Linked DNA regions of Nothobranchius furzeri. The protein of the gene in region 1 interacts with the protein of each later gene in a pairwise test. Links are inferred from orthologs where the notes say so. Each region holds a gene or a part of one and is shown on either strand. Other genes may lie near its edges.

Region 1 (4,219 bases):
TTTGTGTTTCCACGAGTCAAGTTCCTGCCGAAAGCCGCGCCTGTCGATTGTGCATTGCTGCTTTTTGCACGGACTCGCCATTTTCTATTTGTCCGCTGGCTGATGCTCGGGCACGAGAAGAGGAAGCGCTCGGTCACGTGGACGCGCGCGCGCCTTCGTCAAGGGGAGGAAACGGTTCCAGAGGGAGTGAGCTGTTCATTACAACACAGAGCTCAGATTAAATAATCTGATTATATTAGTTTATTGATTAATCGTTTTGTACATAAATAGTACAAAACTGCAATTTTACTGTTCTTTGGTTTAAAGGGGAACACAAAAAATCTAATTATTCATCATCAATTATCTTTCACATTTTGATCATGTAACCATACCCACATAATTTGTATATTTATTTCATTGATCACTGCTTTCAAACTGGAATATTTATTTATTCATATATATTTTTTTAGATTTGTGGAGATTTCCATTCGTTTGTGTGTGTAGATAAAAAAATAATTAATGGATTATAGTAAAAAGAAAAAGAATCATACCACAATATTTCCCTGGGTTAGCATTGTGGTTTTAATTTAAAGAATAGGGATGTAAGAAAATGTTTGTATGATATACATATAAATGTTGTGTCCAAATCTAAAATAGGAGATAGAGTGAAATGACACTATAAAGTATTTTAAAAAGATGATAATGAATAAATATTTCAAAGCAATTTATCAAAATTGCATGCAAACATTTACTGTTTTGTGTTATGTAGTTCAAACTCCAACAGCTAGGTGGCAGCAGTTTTACCACCTTCACTCTGATGACAAGACCTTGCGGTAACACCGGGATAAAACGTGTCTGAAGTGTCTGAGCCAGTGTTTCCCAATCATCTAGTCTTGAAAATTGCAAATATTGTTTGTTTATTTAGCATCGCAATATATCGTATCCCCCCATTGTTAGAAATAGTCTATAACTAGATTCTTGCCAGTACAACTCTCTGTTAAATAGGAGAAAAAAATAACGATTTATTACATTTCAGATTTAAAACTACTCGCTTATAAATGAACACAGTTTTGCTTTTTATCTCAGTCCAGTACAAATTTAAAATAATTTTAGTCAACAAATTTATTTTTATATGACAGGACCATTATTTAAACCATAATGATGAAAATGGGTTAAATTAGTGAGTATAAGAGTAAAAAAAATAAAGATCTTTTTCAGAAATAAATCTCTCAGCTGCTGTATGCCATTAAAGAGCTTCTTCTTAAATGTTGCTTTAAATGTAACTCGGAATTCCTGGTTTTAGTTTCTCACAAACGTCATAGATATTCAGATGCCATCATTTAAAACGCTTTTAAGTTCTTAATAATGAAAATGAAGAATAGTTTTAGTATTTTAATACAAACAGTGTTAGTTCACGCGGTTTTATCCTACAGTCACTGGGTTGTTAGTCAACTTTACGGGCAGCACTTAAACGCACCATCCGTTTTTCAGCCGGTGTTTTTATTTATTTACGCCCGTCCGTTCCCGTACGGTTGCCTCCATGCTCCAGGGACGAAAACCCTTACGTGCAGGTAAATTACACCAATATAGGTGCTTTTATTTTCCTCTGATTTTCGTTTAATTTCAGGTTTTTGGCTTAAATTGGCTTATCGGTCAAAGCGAAGAGCCTCTTCAGAGCTTTAGTATGGATCGAAAACATATTGACAGCTAATTAGGCGTGTATTTGTAATCATGTGTGGATTTCTCAGCCTTTTTGTGATGAATTATTAATTTGCTAGCGGCCGCCTGGGTAAAATGACAGCTGTCTGCCATCTGTAACGTGGCCATTTGTTTTAAAGGGAGACTCACTAAAACACAATAGGCTGTTTGGAAATGACTGTGCGGAAAGCTTGCGTTTGTCTGCAGTCAAGCTTAAATGCTAACCTTATTAGGTGTCATAATTAATTTTTAGCTGATAATTAATCTGTCACTCATTTCAACTCTAATTTGAAGCAGTCGCTGTCAAACTGCAGATATTTTTTAATTGATTTCAGTTATATGATTTATAACCAATCAATAAATCAATCCCTGTCCATGTTTACATTTATTTTGAAAAGAAGAGTAAAGAGACATGTTGTCAATTGCTCAGAATAGTCAGGTGTATCTAAATACCATGTGTTGTTGCATGCATTTGTCTTGAATACAGGAATACCATGACCCTGACCAGAGGATCTTTCACTTATGCCAGCGGGGAGGAATACCATGGCGAGTGGAAAGAAGGCAAGATGGTTCTGTTCCACAGCTCCGATCCAAACGGAGACATCTGTCTGTGTTGCTCCATGCACGTCAGAGAGGTTTTGTCAGAGTTACAGGATGTGGTGACTGAGAAACGTCTCTTCAGTGTTTGTTAGATTCCTGCCTGCTCCTATCTGAACTGCTCGTTCTTTACATTTACTCCTGATTCTTGGAAATTCAGTTTTCTTCAAATTATAAGTAACAAAATTGTCAGTGAGATGAAAAATGTATTGAAACTTAAAACTGCATAAGTGTGGGCTTAATTATCTATTTAGAATGGAAATATCTAAATGATATTACCTGTGTTACTCTCACATTTACCTGCAGGTGCATTGCAGTTAGCTGCTGCTGGTAACTTAATACGAGCAGAGCCAGATTTAACAGCTCTGCTTTTGTCTAATCCCTTTTGAGCCTGACTTTGGAGTTTGGAACTGTTTAGGAAAGTGTGGCCAGTCCTCAAGGAGCATTTCATTTAATTAAAATACAACAGCATCCTTTATGCTGTGTTTAAATGTGCATTGCAGTTCTAACTCTTCGTGTTTATTTTCCCCTCCCATTTCTCCTTTACCCAGTTTTTGTGTGTCGTGGTGCAGTTTGTTCACTTAAGGTTCAGGTTTAAAATAGAAATCACTGCAAACCTGCAGGATTAGACGGCCGTAATTCCCACTTGCACGGGAGACAGATGGGGCTCCTAGTTCAGTAGTAAATCTTTATCTCATTTGGTTGGAAGGAAGTATTTAAATCCAAGTGTCCAATTTCTTGACACCTGAAGTGGCTCTGCAAAAAAATATGTCATTGTCAGACTCAGAGGCATCACAGTTGAAGCTGGTTGCTCCCTTTATTGAGGCATTTGTATTTAAATGAAGTTAAAATGTGCTCTGATATGATATTCCAGGAATGTAATGGTAATATTCACTAAGATGTGATGCTTTCCAGGTCGGAGGCATGGCCTCGGCCAGCTCAAGTTTCAAGATGGAACCTGCTACACTGGCCAGTTTGAGAATGGACTCTTTCATGGATCTGGTGTGCTGCGTTTTACAGATGGGTCCCGGTTCGTGTGCAAAGAAAGGGTAAACATTTTTGCACTTTGTTAAAAGATGCAAACAACATCCTGGTTTATTTACACCACACTAGGTATGAAGGAGAATTTGCACATGGCAAGTTTCAAGGCACGGGAGTCTTCAGCCGATACGACGGCATGAAATTTGAGGGGGAATTCAAAGACGGGCGCGTTGAGGGATACGGTAAGTCTGTGACCCTCCCCGCTTGGAGCAGCACATCCATCAGAATGTCAGTTTCCTCCATGTGGTTGGTCATGGTAGGATGTGTCTGTACCTGCAGGGCTGTTGACTTTCCCAGACGGAACTCACGGCGCTCCACGGAATGAGGGCTTGTTTCAAAACCACAAGCTGCAGAGGAGGGAGAAGTGTGCAGGTGTGGTGCAGCGTGCGCAGGCTTCAGCTTCCAGTGCTCACAGCCTGGCGACCTGATCGCTTGGACTCTTGAGGGGATGTTAGCTGAGCACCTTCCAGAAGGGCCTTAAAGATGTAAACTCCTCCAGTGCTTCTTACACTTTTTATTGTTTAATATTTTAAAATTCTGCCTCTCCTTTGGTCCACCAAATGCATTTGAACCAAATAACAGCTTTCTGTGTGGATTATTAGAAAGGCACAACAATAAGAAGCACACAGTGAGCAGCAAATTAGGCTTTTATTGTGTAAATATATAAATTAGTGTTCTGGACCTTAAGACTTTAAAATAACAAAGGAGAGCTACTGTGCACCTTGGATTTAGAAGTTTTAAAATTAAATATTTAAAAAAGTTTTAGCCTGTGATTAGATACTTTTTCTGAAAAAAATAAAATAAATAAAACTTCGTAAAGCAGCTTAAAATTCTAGAAATAATTTAGGGATGCTCCGATCCAGTCACGTGATCGGAAATCGGGCCCAATCACATGGTTTTAAAA
Region 2 (2,329 bases), on another chromosome or scaffold:
CCACACTGAGGAGAGGAGGTGAGCGAAGCACACTGAGGGTGAATACTTTTCTACATCAGAGAGGAGAAACCGATGACGGGTCTGTTCATTGTTGACAACGTGGCTGACTCCGATTCTGAAGAGTGCTGTTCACCCTCTGATGAAGATATTCACTCGCCCAGTAAGAAAGTGACGCTGCAGCAGGAACAGAAGGTCTGTGTGCTTCATGAGCGTGAACACGCTCCACACACAACATCCCAAGCTTATTTCACCGTGTTCAGGACATGGTGGGTGTAGAGAGGATGGTAAAAACGCCGCTAATAGTCACAGACGATGCAGTGAAGCTGAAAGTCTCACATAATTGATATGAGTGTTACAGCAATCGCAGCAAAACAGCATTACCAAGGAAATCAGCACGATGTGCTGTTTCTATGAGGCAAAGAGCAAGTTTCCACATGAGAGATGAAAACGGCTCACCAGACGGTCTGTTACGGCCGAAAACCAAAAACGCTCTTTTGGGTCATTTTTGGCCGAAAGTTTCAGTGCATCCCTAACGAGTAGTTACATTTAAACTTTTACTTTTTCATATTTGTAGGAAATGAATGTGAATCTAATTTTAAACATTATCTTAATGAGTCACAACGTTTGTTACAACCCGGCTTGAGGGACGGCAGCAAAAGGAGGTCTGCACACAAGGTTAATGTTTAAGAGTGTATTTTTATTAAAACCCAGCCTCTACAACGCCACACAGGCAAGAGCTCCCAAAGCCTCAACTCCTCATCCTCCTGAGTCCTTCCAAACCGCACATAGAAGCCTGTTATGCTGCGCAGGTGCAGCCGCTCGTACAGGGAAGGGCGTCGGCAGAAGCAGCCAATCAGCTGGTTGCACGGGCACAGCAGCCCCCCAAGAGGATGTGTTCTTGTTTTCTTCAATCGCAGCGGTTGTAACAACATTAAACATTGAAATGAGTCTGGTTCAACTTATAATTATATCATAATGGTTTGCCATATTTGTACAGTCATACATGTGCAAAACTTCACACACTCCCCCTGAATACGTTCAATGTTTGAGGTTGTCTGTTTGCATCAATGAAGGAGAACGCACTATCAGAGGGATGATCGTATGATTAATGAGATTTTAGTCACATTTGAACTAGGGATGCACCGATACCAATGCCAATACAGGTATCGGTAAAAGTTAATCGATACCAGGAACCAATACCAATGCAGTTGCTTGAAAGTGGCTTCACTGTAACTTGTCATTTCTGTTCACCTAATATTTTAGTTTTGTGACCATTTCCATTCATATATTTAACTTTTTATCTACCTCACAGTCTTTTCCTGTTGAAAGCAGAGAAGAAAATTTAAATCTGTATTCCAAATCATTGCATTTTTTTCAGTGGTATTGGTAATCGGTATCGACGAGTACTCGGATCCAAGTATCGGTATCGTATCGGTTTGGGAAAAAGTGATATCGTTGCATCGCTAAATTCAACACAAAAGTTGTTCAGAACATCTTAAAGTAAAATGTTGTTTTAAGAACGAGTTGGAATTCAACAAAAGACTCGAGTCAGAGTCGTAACGCTTCAATTTCTCTAAACAAGTCCTTGTTTCTATCTGATGAGATGATTTAAAAATGTACCCAGGAAACAAGCGAGCCTCCGGTCATGTCTGACCACAGATCGCGTTCTGTTTGCATCTCAGTAGGAGCAGCGACGTGGCCGTCATGAACGAGCTGCATTTGGCTACGCTGAGGGAATTCCAGGAGGCGCATTTCACCTCCCAGAAGAAGATGGAAGATGTTGTCACAGAGCTGGAGAGGTGAGCCCTCCACTGCCGGCGTTTCCTGATGTTTTTCCTGACAGTCGGCGTGGTTCCTGTAAGGTTTAGGCTCACACGGCGTTTCTGACTGTGCAGCACCAAGGAGGCTCTAAAGGGAGCAAAGGAAAAGCGAAGAGACCTGGAAGCGGAGCTGGAGAGCGTGACCCGGCAGCTGAAGGAGGCGATGGACAAAATGGTTGAGCAGAAAGAGGAGGAGGTCAAAAGATTGAGGGAGTGGACAGAGGAGCGGCAGGAGAGGCTGATGATGGAGGAGAAAACCAGGGAGGAGAATACCAGGTAAACTAAAAACTCACTTTCTGTCTGTGATGTAACAATTGCCATCTGCTCCTCTTTTTGAACGTTTCTCTTCTTGTAGAGCGACGCTTGACGCTCAGGCTCGACTCGCTCTGAAAGACGAGGAGATGAAGGCTGCAGAGGCGAGCCACGCGGCTCAAATGGCCCAGCTCCAGGAGGAGCTGCAGGTGCAGACAAAGGAGAAGGAGGAGGTGCTGGGGCGTCTGGAGGAACAG
Region 3 (3,520 bases), on another chromosome or scaffold:
ACACATCCTGCATCTACTCTCTTCCATCTCCTCCCATCTGGCAGACGCTATAGATCGCTGTACACAAAAACTACCAGACACAAGAACAGTTTCTTTCCTTCAGCTATTTCTCTCCTGAATCTGTAGATTATTTTACCATCTTTTTATTATAGTTTTTAATACTTATTCAGTATGCTTATGGATATGTGTGTGTGTGCATGTGTGCGTGCGTGCGTGTGTGTGTGTGTGTGCGTGCATGTATATATGTATATATGTGTGTTTGTAAATGAACATGAGTGTGGGTATACATGTTCTTATGTGTTGTTAGGTATGTTTATTCTCATTTATTGTGGTTGTTGTATGTTTTAGAGAGCGAACATCTACCGAAGCCAAATTCCTTGTAAATGTAATTTTACTTGGCCAATAAATCTGAAATCTAACCATTTAGACCTGAAAAATTACCCAATCAAAATGCTTTTTGTGGCGTGTTTGTTTTAATTTGTGATGATAAATCCCCTCCTCTCTAAATCCTGGACCACAGATGCGGAGGCAGTGCTTTTGAAAGCAAGTGAGCTAAACGGCGGTCTAAATTTAGCTGGATGTCTAAAAAAATGCTTTCCTTGCCACCAGGTCAACATTGTCCCGATTGTCGCCAAGTCAGACGCCATCTCCAAGAGTGAACTGGCCAAGTTCAAAATCAAAATCACCAGTGAGCTGGTCAGCAATGGAGTCCAGATCTACCAGTTCCCCACTGATGATGAATCCGTGGCGGAAATCAACTCCACCATGAACGTAAGGCTCAGACCGAACCTGTCTGCATGATAAACAACATGCTACCTAGTACTTTAAACGGCGTCATGTTGTGTGAATCAAAATATTCCTTGTCATGTTTACTGATGTGGTCGAGTGGCAGTCTCAATCTCGCTGCAGGAAGTCAGCAGTGTGGGAACAGGCTTTGTTTCCACATTTAGTTGTTTATTAACCTGGACTTGGGGAAACGCCTTCACTAACGGTCCTAAATCAGTAGCTGTGGCCTTGTTTGGTTCAGTTACAGCAAATTAGTCGAATTGATTTGTTGTTATTCTTTTTGTTCAATCTGTTTGGTGTCTTTTATCTTCATACTCAGCTGTAGACGTTAAGGAGAAGCTTCAGATTCACACTTAAAGCTCTCTCCTTCCACAGAGCCATTTGCCCTTTGCTGTGGTGGGGAGCACAGAGGAAGTGAAGATCGGGAATAAGATGGTGAAGGCCCGGCAGTACCCCTGGGGGACGGTGCAGGGTGAGCCTACATTACATCCTGCACAGGAAATGAGACTAGTCCCTTTCTTGACAGCAGCTGAAGTTTCCTTCATGCTTCTCTTGAGCTCTTGGGGGATCAAGCTGATAACCTTTCCTGTGACCGTATTCAGCTCCAGCTTCTTCCTCACCGTTATTTTGGATTACTGAGCGGCAGCAGCAGCTCTATGCTTTGGCAACCTGTGATGTCACTAATGGAGTTTCTATTGATCTGCTGTGGCTTTTCTGTCTATTTCACATCAGCTGCAGTATGAATCTTTTTATTTGTCAGAGGTGATTAGTTAAACTTAGTTCATCTGCTTTTAAACTTTTTGGCACTTTAGGCCCCATCTGTGAGGAAAGACGAGATTTATTTTTTCTGGTAGGAATAGAACAATGTATCGGGCCACTATTTCCCTTTTTTTACATACTGCAGGGCTTCCCCCAGTGCTTTCTATGCCTGGCGAAACACCAGGGCAAGCGTCCACCCTCCCCTGCAGTCACGAACAACGCAGGGTAGTGAAACAATCCGCGCCCCCCTTCTGTTCTCATGGAAGAGGCACAGTGGCGAAGCGAGCCCCATTCCCATCTGTACCGGGTCGGCCCGGGCCGGGTAGCGTAGGTTGTTTACATATCTGGGTGGCCTGGTATTTTCCCAGGACAACCAAGGCTCATTCTCAGCCCTCTTCTCGAGGGGGTCTGCTTCAGGCCGACCAGGGCCAACACACCCACTGCTGACAGCAAATTCACACCTTCCATTAGAGCAAGCCTCTGATTGGTGGGTAGAATCAGCCCACATGGGCTTAAGACAAGGATGTGTGGAATCAACCGGGCCAGGCTGGGGCCGACTGGGGCTACCCGGCCCGGGCCGACCCGGTACAGATGGGAATGGTCCATGACACCCCCAATCACCACCCCGCTCTCACAGTCCACCAGGCTTAGCAAGTTTTCTGGGGGAAACCTTGTAATAATAATAATAATAATAATAATAATAATACATTTTATTTAAAAGTGCCTTTCAGGACACCCAAGGTCACTTGACAGAAAACACGTGATAAAATACAATAAAACAATAATAAAACCCAAACAAGAAAAAACAAAGAGAGAAACAGTTCAATAAAATCAGAGGTTGTAGGCAGATTGTATTGTATTGGCCTCGGCTAATGTATCTCTTTATTAGAGCTGATTTAGAAACGGGCACATCTGTGGGCAGCCGTGTTGCTGCTGAATTCTACATAAATATATTTGTTCCTGAAAAGCATCTGCTTATTAAAAAATACTCTAATACATTATTGTCAACCGACATTTCTTTTTATTTACCAGTTGTGTATTTTATACTTGGTTAGTTTATTGATTTTTTTTGTTAACTTTGATTAAATGTTTGATTTTGCATAAAATTAAGCTAAATTTAGAGTAAAAAAACTGATTTGCGCAAAAAATGTTGTGGATCCACGGTTAGTGACATTTTTGCAGGCTAATAAGGTAGAAAACGTCTCCCTATTGGCCATGAAAATTGGCAGCATATATTAGCCATCAGCTGGCCATTACTGCTACATATCGGCGTTGGTATCGGCAATAGAACACCCATATCTGTCTATTTCTTTTTTTTTTTAACATGAAGCCTATAGTAAATGCAAAAATGTGTTTAATTTAAAAAATATGAGGTAATATTGTTTGGGTGCTTGTGATGAACCTTGGGTTAAGGTTGGGTCTTTGATTGGAGTCTTTTACTTTAAACTGATTTTTTTCTGTGTTTCTCACAGTGGAAAATGAAAATCACTGTGACTTTGTCAAACTGCGAGAAATGCTCATTAGAGTGAATATGGAGGACCTGCGAGAACAGACCCACACACGCCACTACGAGCTGTACCGTCGCTGCAAGCTCGAAGAGATGGGCTTTAAAGATACGGATCCTGACAGCAAACCTTTCAGGTAGTAGACTCTAGGTGGCGCTTTTTCTGTGCTGCTGGACTTTTATTTTATTTTATTTTTATTCTTCTCCCAGCGTATTTTTATTTATTTTTTTACAACTTGTGTTTATCACGATGCAGCCTGCAGGAGACATACGAGGCAAAGCGGAACGAGTTCATGGGTGAACTACAGAAGAAGGAAGAGGAAATGAGACAAATGTTTGTCCAACGAGTCAAAGAGAAGGAGGCTGAGCTCAAAGAAGCAGAGAAGGAGGTAAAAAAATAAGCGTGATTCTAGTATTTTTGCAAGTGTGTCTGTTCTCTATTTACTCAAAATATCCCCTTCTTGTTGCTGT

What was found. The genes of interacting proteins can lie anywhere in the genome.
Region 2: the proteins of morn4 (region 1) and hmmr interact in binary tests that used the Homo sapiens proteins (3 or more experiments, as listed by UniProt). The two-hybrid records come from large-scale screens. The link is inferred for Nothobranchius furzeri from reciprocal best matches to the Homo sapiens genes MORN4 and HMMR.
Region 3: the proteins of morn4 (region 1) and septin6 interact in binary tests that used the Homo sapiens proteins (3 or more experiments, as listed by UniProt). The two-hybrid records come from large-scale screens. The link is inferred for Nothobranchius furzeri from reciprocal best matches to the Homo sapiens genes MORN4 and SEPTIN6.

What each region holds. Positions count from the first base shown.
Region 1 is NC_091752.1:21,507,665-21,511,883, reverse strand, and holds morn4 (MORN repeat-containing protein 4), read left to right. Parts: upstream 1-1,417; 5' UTR 1,418-1,550; intron 1,551-2,164; 5' UTR 2,165-2,171; coding exon 2,172-2,238; intron 2,239-3,189; coding exon 3,190-3,304; intron 3,305-3,387; coding exon 3,388-3,497; intron 3,498-3,575; coding exon of another isoform or gene 3,576-3,594; coding exon 3,595-3,743; 3' UTR 3,744-3,896; downstream 3,897-4,219. Other genes in the region: wu:fc17b08 (titin homolog), read right to left, coding at 1-81. UniProt on the Homo sapiens protein: Plays a role in promoting axonal degeneration following neuronal injury by toxic insult or trauma.
Region 2 is NC_091742.1:50,692,475-50,694,803, reverse strand, and holds part of hmmr (hyaluronan mediated motility receptor), read left to right. Parts: intron 1-1,682; coding exon 1,683-1,799; intron 1,800-1,895; coding exon 1,896-2,096; intron 2,097-2,175; coding exon 2,176-2,329. UniProt on the Homo sapiens protein: Receptor for hyaluronic acid (HA). Involved in cell motility. When hyaluronan binds to HMMR, the phosphorylation of a number of proteins, including PTK2/FAK1 occurs.
Region 3 is NC_091741.1:85,739,222-85,742,741, forward strand, and holds part of septin6 (septin-6), read left to right. Parts: intron 1-609; coding exon 610-771; intron 772-1,161; coding exon 1,162-1,258; intron 1,259-3,017; coding exon 3,018-3,186; intron 3,187-3,305; coding exon 3,306-3,438; intron 3,439-3,520. UniProt on the Homo sapiens protein: Filament-forming cytoskeletal GTPase. Required for normal organization of the actin cytoskeleton. Involved in cytokinesis. May play a role in HCV RNA replication.